Saccharomyces cerevisiae S288C: one gene and its partners. Changing the gene in region 1 together with any one later gene gives a genetic interaction. Each region holds a gene or a part of one and is shown on either strand. Other genes may lie near its edges.

Region 1 (9,032 bases):
AACTTCCTCTTTAAACGCTACTACATTGGAGCTAGGCCAACGAATTCCACTGAGGTACGCTTCCTGGGATTCCCAGGGAAGTACAACGTTTGCATCTGATTCGTTAGTTTGTCCTAACACTAATGAGGATGCATGGCTTTATCCGGATACGTCTGGGTCTCTAGTTTGTAATTTACCATATGAAGTTTCACCAACAAAAATAAGGCTTTATAATTCCCAACGTTCCGATAGTGAAATCTCCGTGTTCCAAATTCTGACTGATCCATCCAGTAGCATAATGAATTTAACGTATCTGGACCCACTAAGTGGGGAGTTGAAGAATTGCGGTGAATTTTGCCCTTTGTATAGCCGAGCCACTTTATTATCAGCAAGCCAAAATGTATCTTCATCCATGGACATGATTACCTTCATCGATAACAACAAGACAGACGTAAAATGGACGTCAGATTTCCAAGACTTTGCGTTTGTGAATGAACTTCCCGTTTCATCGTTAAAATTTGTAGCATTAAATTCATACGGTGGTAGTGTTGGATTATCCGGTTTGGAGCTCTATCAGGACACATTCTCCACTTATGCTAATGATTCTCTCAACGAATATGGCTGCAGCGCGCTTACCAATGATTCGTCGTCATCTACATTGTCGAGCAATGATTGGTATAATGGTCTAACAGGTGAAAGTTATATAGCCGCGAAATATGTTCCAGATCAAAATGAGCCAATTCCACGCGTAAAGTTTTACCCAAACATTATCCACCCCGGTCACTACACTATCAACATGTATACACCAGGGTGTCTTCAGGATAATACGTGCTCCGCAAGAGGTATTGTAAACGTGACCATGTGGAATCAACAAAATAACACAATAATGAAGACGTACTTGATTTACCAGAATAATGATAATCTAAAATATGATCAAATCTACTCGGGATATCTAGATTTCTCACCGGAGATCGTTTTGGAGTATGTCTCAGGAATTTATACAACCAACACTGCAACAGTGGTCGTGGCAGATCAAGTTAATGTCATTACTGTTTCTTTAGATGCTTTTAACACACTTTCAGATTCTAGCAACGCTAAAAAAGAAACTTTATTGAATGGTATTCTCCAATACCAGAAATCAAACTTTACCAGCACGAGATTGAACGAAACAAAGGTAGGTAATACTACTTTGAATCTTTTCCCAGTAAAAAATTACCCTAAAAATTCTTCCCTTTATGCTGACATTTACGATAACAAATTAGTAATTGGTGGAGTAAGCAACCGTATTTCCATTGTCGACCTTAATGACGACTTTGAGGTTACATCAAGTAAAAACCAAACCATTCAAGGTGATGTACATGGTATAACGAAAACTAACCAAGGTTTACTAATATTTGGAGATATTCTTTCATCAAATAATCAATCAGCTGTTTTTTTGTTTAATGGATCATTTGAGAATGTCTTCAACCAATCGAGGACAGTGAATAGTGCCCTTAATATAAGTCTTGCAAATAACGACTTTATTGTTCTTGATAACGATTATGTGGTCAATGCATCTTCCAATGCGCTTATACGGAACTCCAGTTCCTTTAGTCTATCACTTTGGGCGGCTGGTAACAATGGCGATGGCGATGTTTTGTTTTCAGGTGCAGTATCTCATATGCAATATGGTAATTTGAATGGGTCTGTACGTTTTTTGAACGAAAATGAAATAGAGCCACTTAACCTAGAAGGGGGTATTGTACCTTACCTGGGAGCTTATTTAAATGAGTCTGCCACGGCATATGCATATGAGGTGGATTCTCTAAACAAAATTTATTTTTCTAATGAAGTTTATCCTTCCTGGAATTGGTCTAGCGGTATTACTCAAATGCTATACGCTGATAATCAAACTTTACTAGCTGTCAGTGCAGGATCTTCAACCACAGCAGAACTGTCGATTTTTGATTTGAGAAATTTGACCATGATTGCTAATGAAACACTAGGATCAAATGCTAGAATAAATGCTTTAGTTAACTTTGAAAAAAACTGTAGTATGCTTGTCGGCGGAGATTTCCAAATGACTGAGCCGAATTGCACCGGATTATGTCTATACAATTATGAAAGCAAAACTTGGTCTACCTTCCTCAATAACACGATTTTTGGTGAAATCACACAACTTTCCTTCACCAACTCATCAGAATTAATTATCTCAGGCCTTTTTGAAACAAAAGAATACCAATCTATACGTTTAGGATCCTTTAACTTAACCAATTCTACTATGATTCCATTATTGAGTGGTTCTGAAGGGAAACTGAATTCGTTTACTGTCACTGAAGACTCCATAGTGGCATGGAATGATACTTCATTATTTATCTATAGAAACCAAGAATGGAATATTACCTCGTTACCTGGCAATGCTAGCTCTATTAGCTCTGTTTCAGCTATATACACAGATATTGAATCCAACACTTTGAACAAGAGAGGAATCAACAATGTTAATAATGGCAGTATCCTCTTACTTAATGGTAATTTTAATATTTCGCAATACGGATACCTACAAAGTTTGTTGTTTGATTTCCAAAAATGGACCCCATATTTTATTTCAGAAACAACAAATACTTCCAATTACAATCCAATAATTTTTATTAATAGAGACGTTTCAACTGAATTCAACTCTCAGTCACCACTTGCCAATGTGAACATTACTGTGACAAGTCCTCAGTCAACATCATCCCAGCCTCCATCTTCATCGGCAAGCAGTGAATCTAAATCAAAATCGAAGAAGAAGAAAATAGGTCGTGGTTTTGTCGTTTTAATTGGTCTTGCACTAGCATTAGGGACAGTTTCTGTCCTTGGTATTGCAGGCGTCATTCTTGCCTACGTGTTTAAGGATCCAGAGGGTGATTATAAGCCCATTAAACCGCGAATTGATGAGAATGAAATGCTTGATACCGTCCCACCCGAAAAACTTATGAAGTTTGTCTAATCGGGGTTGTATTATATAATATATAACTACTTAAAATAATGAACACTTAATATAATAAACAAAAATAAAATAGGAAAATCCTAAGTTGATCAAAACTTAATAAAAATTACTACTTGCACTGGAATGTTAGTAGTAAATTCAACACGTATTGGAAGTCACTTGGAATGTTACCAATACTGCCTGAGAATGAGTGATTTTAACTTATAATACAAAAGTCCGGGTTACAGCCCTTTAAATTTTTTTCACGGCAATTTTTCTTTACTTGGTGAAGCCATGAAAAATGTCATCGGTTCGAAGAAATAGGCCTAATGATAAACAAAAAGGTAATTCAAGGTTTTTGAACTGCTTTGTTGTTTTTATTTGTATCTTTTTTTGGTACGTTAGTTAAGTTAATTTTTGGCTCCTTGTCCAGCTTTTCCTTCATCTGCTACCGTTATATTTTCAGATATTAATTTAGTAGCAGAGAGCAAGTACCGAAAGGAAAACAAAACAGAATGATTTACAAAATGGCACACGTACAGCTTTTGTTGTTGTATTTTTTTGTGTCAACAGTCAAAGCCTTCTATTTACCAGGTGTAGCGCCTACCACTTACAGGGAAAATGACAACATCCCATTGCTCGTTAATCATTTAACTCCATCAATGAATTATCAACACAAAGATGAGGACGGTAATAACGTTTCTGGCGATAAAGAAAATTTCTTGTACTCATACGACTACTATTACAATAGATTCCATTTTTGTCAGCCTGAAAAAGTCGAAAAGCAACCTGAATCCTTGGGATCCGTTATATTTGGTGATCGAATTTATAATTCACCATTCCAATTGAATATGTTACAAGAAAAAGAGTGTGAATCCCTGTGTAAGACCGTAATTCCGGGAGATGATGCTAAATTCATCAATAAATTGATAAAAAATGGCTTCTTCCAAAACTGGCTTATTGATGGATTACCGGCTGCAAGAGAGGTTTATGATGGCAGAACTAAGACTAGTTTTTATGGTGCTGGCTTCAACCTTGGTTTTGTACAGGTAACTCAAGGAACCGACATTGAGGCTACTCCAAAAGGGGCAGAAACCACCGATAAGGATGTGGAATTGGAAACACGTAATGATCGTAACATGGTGAAAACTTACGAATTGCCTTACTTTGCCAACCATTTCGATATTATGATTGAATATCACGATCGTGGTGAAGGTAACTATCGTGTAGTTGGTGTTATCGTCGAACCGGTTTCCATAAAACGTTCCAGTCCAGGTACATGTGAAACGACTGGCAGCCCATTGATGCTAGACGAAGGAAATGATAATGAAGTTTATTTTACTTATTCCGTTAAATTCAATGAATCAGCGACTTCTTGGGCCACCAGGTGGGACAAATATTTACACGTATATGATCCTTCTATTCAATGGTTTTCTTTGATAAATTTCTCCTTAGTTGTTGTCTTATTGTCATCTGTTGTTATCCATTCGCTATTGCGCGCACTGAAAAGTGATTTCGCACGTTACAACGAGTTAAATTTGGACGATGATTTTCAAGAAGATTCGGGTTGGAAATTGAATCATGGTGATGTTTTTCGTTCGCCAAGTCAATCGCTAACCCTTTCAATTTTGGTTGGTTCAGGAGTTCAATTATTTTTGATGGTAACTTGCAGTATCTTCTTCGCTGCATTGGGTTTCCTATCACCTAGTTCTAGAGGTTCCTTAGCCACTGTTATGTTTATCTTATATGCATTATTCGGGTTTGTCGGCTCTTATACATCTATGGGCATCTACAAATTTTTCAATGGGCCATACTGGAAGGCAAACTTGATATTGACTCCACTTCTAGTTCCTGGTGCTATTCTGCTAATAATTATTGCGTTGAACTTTTTCTTAATGTTTGTTCATTCTTCTGGTGTCATACCAGCAAGTACTCTGTTTTTTATGGTTTTTCTATGGTTTTTGTTCTCAATCCCATTATCATTTGCTGGTTCATTGATTGCCAGGAAAAGATGTCACTGGGATGAACATCCAACCAAGACAAACCAAATCGCAAGACAAATACCCTTCCAGCCTTGGTATTTAAAGACTATACCAGCTACTTTGATTGCTGGTATCTTTCCATTTGGCTCCATCGCCGTTGAGTTGTATTTCATATACACAAGTTTATGGTTTAATAAGATTTTTTACATGTTTGGTTTCCTCTTTTTCTCTTTCCTCCTATTAACTTTGACAAGTTCACTCGTCACTATTTTGATCACTTATCATTCCTTATGCCTGGAGAACTGGAAGTGGCAATGGAGAGGATTCATAATTGGAGGCGCCGGTTGTGCTTTGTATGTGTTTATTCATTCTATTTTATTCACCAAATTTAAGTTGGGTGGATTCACGACTATTGTCTTATACGTGGGATACTCCTCAGTCATTTCATTACTCTGCTGTTTGGTAACGGGGTCAATTGGCTTTATCAGCAGTATGCTCTTTGTTAGAAAAATCTACTCATCCATTAAAGTTGACTAGGCCAACGAAAAAGAGGTCCTATATGTTGGGTTAGGGCGTTTTTTATTTATTTCTCTACTGTTTATCTTTTTTAACAAAGAAAATGCTAGGCCCTATGGCCTTTGGACATGATACATAGTTTTTAGTAATATTTTTTTCAAAAAGATTAAAAGTACTATAGGATTCGAAGTTGTAATTTTTGGTGTATATACATTTATTTATTTGAATCTTTTTTCCATGATTCTGGAATGACATTCTGCGTTACAGTTTGGGAATAAATGCTCCTTTAAGGAAATAATATACAGCTTTAGTGTACAGGGTTAATCTATAGCCACATTAAAAGGACTTGATTATGACTTAAAATAAGTGACACTGACGCTTTAATATTCAGTCCGGGTGATGCTGTCATCTAGGACAAAACAATGGGAGTGGATAAGTAAGCAAGTAATAAGATAAAACAGTATTAGAAATTGGTAGTAGGCTGAAGCTTGTTGAAGCTGGTGGACAGAAAAACGCTTATATTGTGAAGATCCTTTTGGATGTCCAACTTTAAGAATTTTACTTTAAATTCCTTTGAAGATTATTACGGAAAGCCCTCTGAAACGCCAAAAATGGAGGAAGAGAAATTGGAAGTAACAAATGTGAATGCGTCCTCTTCAAAAAAAGTACATAAAAGCAAAAAGAGCACTTCAAAATATGACCAAAAGAATGTATTTAGAAACTCAATGACAGGAATTGCACAAATACTGCCAACAAAACCTGTGAAAATTATAGAGCAGAATATTGATTTTGCCAATCCGAAGAGCTTCGACCTCCTGCAATCTACACATACTATTTGCTTTAATAAAAGAATTAACACTACTAATACCAAGTTGAATGTGGAAACTCATACTTCTAGTGATATTGACAACGACATATTGCACGTTGGAGCCCCCACAGACTTGGGGGGAAACAGTAATGACGAAGCGGAAACAAGGCAACTAAGGAAGTTTCGATGGTCCAATAATAAAGAAAAAAGTCTTTGTGAAAAGTTAACAGTCATATATTGGGCCCTCTTGCTCCACACAACAAAGAGAGCAAGTAAAAGGAGACCTATATTATGTCATCAAATGATAGCTGAGTTTTTTAACAGAGTTTATAAGGAGAAATCAAGAGTACCTATAACTTCAAGATATATTAGAGATAACCTCGTCGCTTGGGTCACTCAAGGAAAGGAATTGCATGAAAAAGGTTGGGTAGGGGATGCCAAAACTGGCGATTTGCAAGAACAGTTCAATATAGCCACTGTCAAATTATATGAAAGCGCAGAAGACGGGCGTCTTTCCATTGGTAAAGACAAACCCTTTCGAGAGGAAAACACCGGCAGTGATAGTTTGGTTCGAGCGGAAGAGGACTCTACCGCTGTCACTAATGAAAATGGACATATTTCTTCAGAAAAAAACTTGAAAAAAGATCGTAGAGAGTCTATAAGGAACCAAATCCTGACTTTAGACCTAAATGACGAAGATTTTTTCCAAAATGTAATGAAAGTTTTATCAGCCATTGATGAACCAGAACTGAGACAATATGTAATCGTAATCTCAGAATTAGTTAGCATGGAAATGGATGATGGTAAAACGGTACGAGAAAAGCTCCGAGACGTTGAATTGAATATTAATAGGTTGCAGGTTGATATAAAAGAAATAAAGGAAATGCTTGTTACACTGATAAACAAATGACTGAAAAAAGCAACTCCTGGATCGTTCGAACATTCTCACTCCATTAATTGTATGTTAGCTCAGGAATTCAACTGGAAGAAAGTCCAGGCAAGTACCTGACTTATTTTCTAGAGGACCCCCCAGAGATAAGTCTGGTGATGTGGTCCTTTAATAATTTCATAGGGACAATTCATTTTGCGTTTTTAATTTTGCTCGGTGAACAAAGGATGGCAGAGCATGTTATCGTTTTCTTTTTTTTTTCCTGTTTTAGAGAAAAAGGTTATATATGTAATAATACTCTGATATATGTACACAAATAATAGGTTTAGGTAAGGAATTTATATAATCGTAAGGATATCATTGATAAGGGAAATTTTTTTTTTTTTTTTTCAAACAAATACTATGATAATTAAAATGAAGAAAAAACGTCAGTCATGAAAAATTAAGAGAGATGATGGAGCGTCTCACTTCAAACGCATTATTCTAGCATGGCCTTGTACCACGGTTTGTCGTCATGTTGTAAATCCTCTAAATCGTAATTATTACCTCTTCTGGATGAAGGAATCCAGCCTTCAGATTTCCAAGGTAAAACACCTTCTTCCCATAATTCTTGAATTTCTTCTAACGATAGGCCTTTAGTTTCTGGAACAAAGAAAAAGACATAAAAAAACATGGCAACCAAACAGCCCATGAAGACATAACCGTAGTAGAAGTTAATGGCAGATGTGATGAATGGGGTGAAAAATGCAATCAAGAACCCCCATACCCAATTGGAAGCAGAGGCCAACGCCATACATTTCGACTTGACTCTCAGTGGGAATGATTCTGCTGTGATGACCCAGGCAACTGGCGCCCAGGTTGTGGCATAACAGAAAATATAAAAACAGGTAAAGACAATCATACAGTTACCGGCACCTTTAGAAGATGGCTGGCTTTTACCGTGAGGATATAATCTAGTAACACCAACAGAGGCGTAGATGACCATACAAGCCATCATAGTGGCAGCGCCCAAAAGTAAACATTTACGATGTCCCAAGTTTTCGACAGTCCACAAACTAAAGAAAGTGGAGGCAAAGTTGACTACACCAATGACAATGGATGTTTCAAAGGAATCATCCAGGCCAACTGACTTGAAAATAACGGTACCGTAGTAGAAAAAATAATTGTTACCGGTTAATTGTTGGAACATTTGAACAAACACACCCATCAACAAACGTTGAAATACTTTGGTCTTGGTGGAAAATAATTCCCCCCAGGACGCATTGCCAGCCAGTTTTTCAGCTTCTATACCGGCCATGATCAGATCTAACTCTGCCTGGACGGCAGGATCCTCTGGTGACACCTTGTTAGACTTAGCAATGGAACGCTTGGCGTCTTCTACCTTATTCACCTCACATAAATAACGTGGGGATTCAGGAACTAACGTCAAAGCGCCAATCATAAATAATGACCAAGCGAAACATAGCCCTAATGGAACTCTCCATTGAACTGAGTTCGAATAGCTCTTTGTACCGTAATTAGTACAGTAGCCCAAAAAGATACCTGCAGTAATCATCAGCTGATAACAAGAAACTAGTGTGCCTCTCAAGTGCTTTGGAGCAATTTCAGAGATCAACATAGGACATAAGACGGCGATGCCGCCGACACCCAAACCAGATATGATTCTACCAATGAAATATTGGTACCACTTGTTGATAGAGGCAATTTGAATGATAATACCAACTATATAAACCGAGACGACAATCGAAAGACCCTTTTTACGGCCATACATATCTCCACCTTTGGAAAGTATAATACCACCAAAGGCACAGCCAATATTGAAAATGGCGACGATTAAACCTGTTCTGACGTTTGACAAATAGTGGGTACCATCCTTATGTTTCATACCAAACCTTCTCAAAAAGTCTGTTT
Region 2 (3,934 bases), 260 kb from region 1:
TATTAGTAGAAGCGTAATTTCTCTCAAATAGTTCTGGTAGAGATTCGTCAGTTTTCATAAAGGATCTTAAATATTCCAAACTTAGAATGTCAGAATCTCCTTCTGGAATCAATATTCCAAACTTCAAAAATTGCACGCCAAGCCATAATTTCCTTCTTAAATTGAATAATCTTGGATAATCGTCCGATTCGCTGACGTATCGAGTGTATTGGAAGGGTTCTTCATTCAGTCCTAGCTTTATTGCTACATTCTCCAAAAATTTTAGGTTTAGTATGTCACTGTGAGTAGGATACATGTCAGCTTGATCTGGATTCAAATACCGCAATATGAAAAAATAGAGCAGACAACAAAGTGTATGTTCATTAACATATTGAAAAACGTTCATGAGAGCAAGAAGTTTATGAGCGAGTAGCGTTAAATTATTCGATTTTACACCAAAAGATTCTTTAAATGAATGACTAGTACTTAGACTCAAACGTCTGTAAGAAAAAGCCAATATGATAGTTAGCAGTGTTATTGTCTCCAGTTTTCTTCTAGAGTCTTTGCCCGCAAATACAATGTTATACCCATTAAATTCATTCAATTGCAACAGCTCCCTTATGTTATCTTCGAATAATGATATTTCCAGTAACGGATAGACCGGATATATTGTTTTGTAAAAGTCCACGATTAAGCCATCAACCTCATTCTTATTGAGGAAATATTTGGATAACTCTTCCAAAAGGATGTTTATGGAAATTTTATCATTATTTTCTTCAGGATGCGCTTGTTCATAATCATACGTGTTATACAGAAAATCTATTGGAGGATACAATTTGCTTGTTTTTGAGGTATTTTCAATAAATTTAAGTGCAGCTTTATCAATAAAAAACAAAGGTCCAATATCACCGATTGTTAAGTTAAGTTCTCTTTTTTTATTGTTGGCAGAAACGTTTTCACGATGGCGTTCGACATCAATCAGTATCCTCTCATGTATGCAGGTGGTCAAGGCCTTCGCATACAAATCATGTTGAAGAATGCTATGGAAGGCAAAAGGACTATCAACGATGGTTGTGTTATTCATTACAACAAGCTTGTCGTGTGCATTCGATAAATTCATGGCAAAATTTTTCATTTCCCAGTCTTTAGTACTTGGATTAAGTATGGAAGTAAAGGAACCACTTGCGGACATCGATGCAGGAGTAATGTTTCTAATGTCTCTATGTGGGGCATTTTCGATAGTGGGAGATTTGTTAATCCGTCCTGGTTCCACTTCGTAGCTACAAATCGAGGATGAGGCCTTGCATTTGGAGCAAGTAGGCCAAAGTTTATCACATTTGATTTTCCTTTGCTTACACCGCAAGCAAACAAACGATGGCTTAACCTTTTTCTGAGATGCAATGCTCATATCCAGTGCAGTACACTTATCTTGTCATAGATTTCTGATGGGTAAATAATTACTTCACATCATCTTTGTTTCCAAAGTTTGGCCTCAATGTTGCCTTTAGGAGGAAAAAATGTGAAGAATGCATACTTCTGCCGCTTACGTAAAAACAGAACTCTGACCAGAAGAGATAAAAACAAAAAAAAAATAAAGGACAGTAAATATGAAAAATAAGATATTATTATATTAAATTAAATTAAATTAAATTAAACTACGATGGGAGCGTTATGCCAAAAAAGATAAAATTCTGAGCAGACTACTCTCAGTCTTCCTTCTTTTGACCTGCCGCCTTTTCGGCATTAACGTATGTAGTGTAATCAAGGATTTGTAATAATTGCCACACTGACCAGGCTAAGAAGGCACCCAAAAGTGGGCTAATCCAGTAGATCCAGTGGTAATGAGGGAAATATCTGGCAGCAACGGCGGCACCCAGAGATCTTGCAGGGTTGACACCGGTACCAGTGTAACCGGTCAAAGCCATGTGAGCCATGAATAAAGAAATACCAATTGGAAGCGCAGCCATAAAGTTAGTTTCACGTTTTTCAACAGCAGTCATCAAAACTGTTAAACACAACACAGCAGTACCAAACATTTCCAAAAACAACCCCCTAGATCTGGAACAGCCTAAACCCAAAGCATTAGTAAAGAGAACCTTGCCTGGAGTCATAGCACTAGCGGCACCACCAGCAGCCATCCCAGCAATGATCTGAGGAAACCACATCACTACACATCTGGCTGGTGAGATGGCTCTGGCCAAACACAAAGAGAGAGAAACGGCTGGGTTCAAAGCCCCACCAGAAACACCAGATAGAAAACATCACAGAGAAACCGAAACCAAGGGCAATCATGATCAATTGACCTGGATGAGAGCCCTCAGGCTCGGTTGTCAAAGCCACATCATGGTTAGCGACATTACAAATGACGTAAGCACACCATAAAAACATGAAGGTACCGCAAAACTCACCCACAGCAGCGATAAAGTGGTTTCTTAAGGTATCTCTGTCAATATTAAAACGCGAATGCTTCGTTTCCGGCTGTTCAGGTGGAATATAAGCATTGTCAACACCGGTCGGGTCCAAGTGCGAAATGTTTTTTTCAAGGTCGTTAGATTCGTTAGACATAGTATAACTAAGGTAGGCTAGTGTCGCTTTTGAATATTTTCAGGAATTGTAATAGCCAGGAACAAGAAAAAAGACATGCGCACACTAATAAGCTACTAAAACCAACATATTTATACTATCAACCGAGAGAGGGGCAGATATGATTCACGATAAAAAGTTAATAAAAGGATAACAGCGGCGCTCTAATTCGTTAATGAAAGCCATAGTCCGGTATGGACAAAAACTATTTCCTTCTTTTTTTTTTTTAGGTTTTTTTTTAATTTGCACTTGCAATAATCTAATTCACTGTAGGAGTTTAAAGAAAAACATCTAGAAGGATTGGAGGAGGTAAGTCATTATTATGGCGGTGCTCTTTTAGCGGGAAAAAAAAAAATACACCTACGACGTTAAAACAGATCGTGCTGTCGTCTCAGCGGCAGTAAAAGTACTGTAGTAGTTACGGTGCACGCAGATGCAATGCTAATTAAATAATCATGCTCCCATTTTTAAGAAGCAGAAAAAGGCCGCAGTAATTTGAGCCGTGAAAAGATTTCGGAGGGTTGATTCTTAACATTTTCCAAAAAAATGTCCTTTGGTCTGTTTGCTTGGGTCTGAAAAGAAGGACTGCAGCGCCACCTCCACTGGTTAAGGACAAAATCCATACTTATTCCATCTTTCTCGGGACATATTTTCCTGAGACAAAAGACCGTAGAACTTCAAAGACTCGTTCCCAGAAAGGGATTTAGAGTTAATTTTTGCTCGGCATCAAGCCGGAAAAATTCAGGCGCCGCTTAGTAATTAATTGCAAGTAAAGAAGTACCGGATTTATTAGACATCGTCTTAGCAAGCAAATTCCTGAAAGCTAAAACGCAAATAATTAACTAAAAATAGTTGCTAAAGAGCACCTTTTATGCGGTACATAAAAGTTTTTAGTGCCGTAGATATATGTAGATATAGGTGGGCGTAGGATCAGAAGGAGCCGGAGAGAAGATTTACCAACACTGATATTCCTCGAAATACTCTATAATTCTCTCTGGGTAACCGAGGAGTTTTTGAGAAACGGTGTTTCTAACATCGTCCACCAGAACAGGAGGGCCGCAGCACACGACCGCTAATGAATCTCCAGGCGGCGTACTTTTTATTGCGTTTTCAATTACATTGCTAAAATTAGGTCTTGCATTGCCGATGTGGGCGAAGCTTGTCAGTTCGGTCATTATATCATCAAAATGTATTAATTGGTCTCGTGCGTTTGCTGCCTTTGTAACAGCTGTTTTCTGTGTAAGGTAAACCTGCACGTTGACGTGGGATCGGCTATTTTTTAGCTCTAGTATCTCGGATTTATAGCCGTTAAGAAAAGAAGGATTTTTGATCGCCATGATCAAATCTATACTCTTGGGTTTATCAGGGTTTC
Region 3 (5,712 bases), on another chromosome or scaffold:
GCATTCAGGTACAAGGATAATAATTCGAGCTCACCATCAGGATCAAACCCAGAGTATCTTATTGAAGACAAAAACGTCGCCACTCATTTAATTAGAAATGCATTAAGTGCGGGCGGAAGAAAAGAATATGTATCGGCATTGGTAAGTATACCATCGCCGATGAGTAGAAGATACAGAGATGACTTGACAGTAACAGTGGCGTTCTTTGGTGATTCTGGAACACCCTCAATTGTCTCCAATGCTACTTCAATAGTTATGAACCCGGAGGCAACAACAAAGCCAAAACCTAGATTATGACGATATAAACTTATGCTGAGGTAGGTATATACCAGAGGATTTATTTTATAGATATTAGTCTGCTGATTATCTAGTTTCTTGTCACCTCATACGTGTTTTTTTTTTTTTTGGTTTTCTCGGTTTGCATTATGGGGCTTTTTGCTAAAACAATATCCCCGAAAAGACAAAGAAAGAGAAGTGAGGTGAAAATACGAGCAGCTTATCTTATAAAAGTGGCAACGATTTTAAAAATAAAAAGCAAGATCGTCGACTTATCTAAGCTATAAAAAAATATCCCTTTTATCACACAAAAAAATGAACACATCAGTCACTTCCATAAAGTTGGTACTGTTGGGTGAGGCAGCAGTTGGTAAATCGTCAATAGTCCTAAGGTTTGTATCTAATGATTTTGCCGAAAATAAGGAGCCCACCATTGGTGCAGCATTCCTCACTCAAAGAGTTACTATAAATGAACATACTGTTAAGTTTGAAATATGGGACACTGCTGGGCAAGAGAGATTTGCATCTTTAGCACCTATGTACTATAGAAACGCACAAGCTGCTCTTGTAGTATACGACGTTACAAAACCACAATCCTTTATTAAAGCGCGCCACTGGGTTAAGGAATTACATGAACAGGCATCAAAGGATATCATCATTGCGTTAGTTGGTAACAAGATCGATATGCTGCAAGAAGGTGGGGAAAGAAAAGTCGCAAGGGAAGAAGGTGAAAAGCTAGCGGAAGAAAAGGGCTTGTTGTTCTTTGAAACAAGTGCAAAGACAGGAGAGAATGTTAACGATGTATTTTTGGGAATCGGTGAAAAGATACCACTGAAGACGGCTGAAGAGCAAAATAGTGCAAGTAACGAACGTGAGTCGAACAATCAAAGAGTGGATTTGAACGCTGCTAATGATGGGACCAGCGCAAACAGTGCTTGCAGTTGTTAGAGAGGGGAAAATAAATATATATAAAAAAAAAGTCTGGGCAAATTGAGATAAATAGATCTTCAAAACGGGAAAGATGAAAGTCATAATTTATCGTACCTAGAAAGGAGAGGGAGTTTTCATTTTTTACCGTAATCGTTGTTTTTCTTTTCTTCTTATAATTTGTAAATTTTTTAACTGCATTAGATCATTATATTATCTTTCAAAACGCCAGTCGTTTTTATTAGACCTTTATATACGTTTCAAAGTGGTTTGTACACGTTAGTTTAGTTAAACTTTTGTTTTCATGTAGACCAAAATATAAACTTATTTTATGCCGAAAATCGGGAGATGGATTAGTTAATATTGTAAATAATGATAAATTAAAGGAACATTAAATTTACAAAGTTGCAATGAGGAGCAATATATATATATATATATGGATTTCTGAGAAATTAATTAAGCAGTATTTGAACACATGTCGTTTACTCTTTCTTATCCTTTATGTCTAATTTTTCGAGTAGATCGGTAATTACAGCTGTCAAGTTTTCCACTTTCTTAGTGAGCTCTTTGACTTCATCTTTATCTTCACCAGCATCATCTTCAGTGTCATCGTTATCATACTGTTCGAAGGAGGGACTGCATTTTTTAACGTTTTTATACCACTTCTTAGGGACTTTAAAATGGACATCTTCCTGCTCTGCTGTTCTTTGCAGTTTTAGCGAACGGGAATTCTTTAACTGGGTGGCTCTCATGCCAGAATTTCGGTTATCAGAAAACAAACCGTCATCATCATCCAAGTAGCCATCTGTCAAATCCCATGGAGTATCATATTCATTGGCATCATCGTTTAACCTTTTCATCCTGTTATATTTTATCCTTCTAGCCTCCCGAGTTTCTTTAACAGAAATAAGCAACAAAAATGGGCTGTACACTATTGTCATTACAGTATAGCTCAAATCTTTAGCACGCTTCGGTGGAAGAATACGAAAGATAGGTGTCATGAACACTTCAATTAAGTTCAATGGAGAAACATAGACATCTTCATCAGGTGCTCTAATGTATCTCAACGTCTTTTGTGACATCAAAGCCATGTACTCGTCATCTGCATTGTCAATAACTTTTTGGTACGCAGTCGAATACAAAGCAATTAATATATTCAAAAGGATAACCGAAACAATAAAATAGTAACCATAATACAGTATTGCCGCATATGGGGGAGCGAATTCTTCGAAAACATCAAAACTACCAAGACCCAAAACGGTGATTGTTAAATTACCCAGGATGGGTCCGGTGATATCTCTCTTACCATCTGCGGAATCCAAACCTAAGAAACCTTGAGTGAATCCTATCATTATTAAGAATAGAAGGAAGAAAAATACAATGGATTCTTTCATCATATGTTTTAGGATAACCAACATAATCCCAATAAACCTTTGTGATTCAAGGTATAGTAGGAGTCTCGACCACACAAATGGTGCTGCACAGGATAAGACTCTATATGATATTTTATCCCAATCTTCTGAAGAGTATTTTGCATTAAGGGGCGTTACGCTCATTGCACGGAACCCCATAGCAAACGTGATTATCAAATATGTGGTATCATTAAATAAATTCCAAAACGATAGGTGCGCATAACCAATATAATAAAGCTTAGTGAGCTCATCCAAGATGAAACCAGTATTGAAAACATAAAATATGCTTTCTAACAAATCGAAAGATTGGACTCTCTCAGAGTCCTTACCATTAACCACCAAGGTATAAAGCCCTAGAAACAAAAATGAGAAGATCATCTGCAAATAATTTTGGTATACAGGCGCCTTTAATCTTACGGGGTTGAAATGAGAGATCAATGACACTTCCGCCAGTGAATCGTCCTTGATAAAAGTTGTGGGATCCAAGCCATTTTGGACTATCCATCCTCTCCATATCCATTTTAAACAACGCTGAAATCCACTCGATCCTATCACTGTAGTACAGTGCATATCTGTGGCAAGTTCCAAGGCATTCAACGGTTCTTGATCTTCATCGTTCTCGTTGATTACGTACCGACGCAGCAGTAACTGCATGAAAAGAAACTGCAGGTCTCTTGTCTCCTCCCTTTCAATTAACAATTTACATAACTGTTGTGAGGCTAAATTTCTGGTTTCGTAAAGTTTGGCATTGTGCACTTCCATAGTGGCCAATATGGAATACCACTCACAAACTTTAAGAAGTGAAAAAATAATGACAGATTGATATTTTCTTTTGTTGGCCTTGTCTTTAGGGTTCCCGCCACATGCTTCATAAGCCAGCTTCACAACTTTTGGAGATAAAATCTCAGAATGGTCACAAACAATATCATTGGGATCGTAAACAATAGGTACGACCTTATCAATTAAGTATTTCAAATTTAACGTAACCCTGAGAATCTGTCTCGGAGTGGGGGCCTCAAATCCAAGAGATCCATTGTTTTCCGGCATGCACTGTTCGTTAGAAATTGGCAAGTGCAAGTCGCCGTTGGCTGATACCATAATGCTCCTGTTCTAGTAATATTATATTTTATAACTGAATTCTATTGCCTTACCAAGCCACTGATTAATGACAATTGCATTGAATAGGCTCTAGCTGATCCTCGAAGGATACTGACTAAATTTACCACATATTTTCAGCTCTTATGAGATAACTCCGACATAGCAACAGTGTAGGAGAAAAATTAAAAAATTAACGACCCCAGTGAGGGTTGAACTCACGATCTTGCGATTAACAGTCGCACGCCTTAACCAACTTGGCCATGGAGTCTAACTTTGTTGTTTTAGAGAACGAATGAAGAACTTATTATGACGATAAAAATATGTCAAGAGAGGCCCAAGAATGTATAAATCATTGTAAAACCAAGCAAGTAACAAAAATGGTCATGTGACAAGAGGTGGTGACATAAAAATAACCAAAGGACTAATAACTAGAGAAACAATAAAATGAGAAACTAAAAAAAGAAATAAAGCATTGAAAATCTCATTAGACTAGTTGGCTCATTTCCATGGCAAAATGTACAATTGTATCTCAGTAACGTTATACTCGCTCCCTTTTTAGGCCAATTTTATCCATTATTCTCATTCTAAAATAGCGGACATAACGAGAAAACGATTTACGTTAGAAGTGATAACAACTTTGGCGACCGGAATGCTGCATGAAAAATTATAACAAAAGGCCCCTCAAAAAGCTAAGGGACAGGGATGTTGCTGCAATTGGAATAGTATAATCGGCCGTCAAAATTATCAACTAATAGCATTGGCTACTCCAATTTGGACTTACTGGCTGGTAATTGACTTGTATAGCATTGTCTTAGCTTATTATTTTTTTTTTGCTGAAGAATAAGTAGGATAATTGAAGAAGAATAGCTAAGATAAAAAAAGATAGCTAGTGCATTCTGAAAACTTCAATTGCGTGGTACATACAATATGGCCAAAGAAGATACTGGGGTAACAGCACCAAAGAAGCCCGAAACAGCCCAAGTAGCTAACATAAATGGGATAGATAAGTTAGAACCTCCAAAGACGAAAGAGGAAACCGAATCCAGTAAAAGCGTGTCATCTGAGAAGGCGGCACATGCTAGTGATGAAAGCTTCAAGAGAAGTATCCATGAAGCTTCTTATGTCGGCTGGAAACAGATTGGTGGCTGGGAAGACAAAGACGAATTAACTTTAGATGATGAATTGATGGATATGACTAGAGAAACCTTCTTAGATAACATCATACCGGACAGCCTTTACGGTGACTGGTATCATTCGGTAGCCATTTTCTTTATCGGAGGCGTGGCATCATTTGCACTTGGTCATTATAAGTTTTCAATGGGGTCGGCCTTTTTTGTCATCGTTATCACTTCATTGTTGTATAGAACCTCTGCTAAAAAATACAGAGGTTCCATAAGAGAGTTAGTCCAGAAAGAGTTCACGGTGCAGAAAGTGGAAAACGACTATGAATCCCTAGAATGGTTGAATGCCTTTTTGGATAAGTACTGGCCCATTTTAGAACCTTCCGTTAGTCAATTAATCGTTCAGCAAGCTAATGAACAAATGGCTACTAATGAGGCGATTCCCAAATTTATTACTCAACTATGGATCGATGAGTTGACACTTGGTGTTAAACCCCCCAGAGTTGATTTGGTGAAGACTTTCCAAAACACTGCATCCGATGTTGTTGTGATGGACTGGGGTATTTCTTTTACTCCTCACGATTTATGCGACATGAGTGCTAAGCAAGTCAGAAATTACGTTAATGAATTAGCGGTTGTTAAGGCCAAAATTTTTGGTATCACCATCCCTGTTTCTGTGTCAGACATTGCTTTCAAGGCTCATGCTAGAGTGAAATTCAAATTGATGACTCCCTTCCCTCATGTCGAAACTGTTAATATCCAGCTACTGAAGGTTCCTGATTTTGATTTTGTTGCTACCTTATTCGGCCGTTCCATCTTCAATTGGGAAATTTTAGCTATCCCAGGCCTTATGACACTAATACAAAAGATGGCCAAGA

The links. Genes that interact genetically often act in the same process or in processes that back each other up.
Region 2: mutations in EMP70 (region 1) and YLL053C together harm fitness more than expected from each alone (negative genetic interaction), as found in Saccharomyces cerevisiae (one large-scale study listed by BioGRID).
Region 3: mutations in EMP70 (region 1) and YVC1 together harm fitness more than expected from each alone (negative genetic interaction), as found in Saccharomyces cerevisiae (one large-scale study listed by BioGRID).

What each region holds. Positions count from the first base shown.
Region 1 is NC_001144.5:290,504-299,535, reverse strand, and holds EMP70 (Emp70p), read left to right. Parts: upstream 1-3,441; coding exon 3,442-5,445; downstream 5,446-9,032. Other genes in the region: RAX2 (Rax2p), read left to right, coding at 1-2,947; SRL2 (Srl2p), read left to right, coding at 5,964-7,142; galactose permease GAL2, read right to left, coding at 7,600-9,032. UniProt on the Saccharomyces cerevisiae protein: With TMN2 and TMN3, plays a critical role in the late stages of a nutrient-controlled pathway notably regulating FLO11 gene expression. Acts downstream of RAS2 and TOR. Essential for cell adhesion and filamentous growth.
Region 2 is NC_001144.5:33,818-37,751, forward strand, and holds YLL053C (uncharacterized protein), read right to left. Parts: upstream 2,145-3,934; coding exon 1,686-2,144; downstream 1-1,685. Other genes in the region: YLL054C (uncharacterized protein), read right to left, coding at 1-1,387; AQY2 (Aqy2p), read right to left, coding at 2,095-2,544; FRE6 (putative ferric-chelate reductase), read right to left, coding at 3,516-3,934.
Region 3 is NC_001147.6:485,708-491,419, reverse strand, and holds YVC1 (Yvc1p), read right to left. Parts: upstream 3,714-5,712; coding exon 1,686-3,713; downstream 1-1,685. Other genes in the region: type 2C protein phosphatase PTC5, read left to right, coding at 1-297; Rab family GTPase VPS21, read left to right, coding at 592-1,224; TCB1 (tricalbin), read left to right, coding at 4,641-5,712. UniProt on the Saccharomyces cerevisiae protein: Required for release of calcium ions from the vacuole in response to hyperosmotic shock.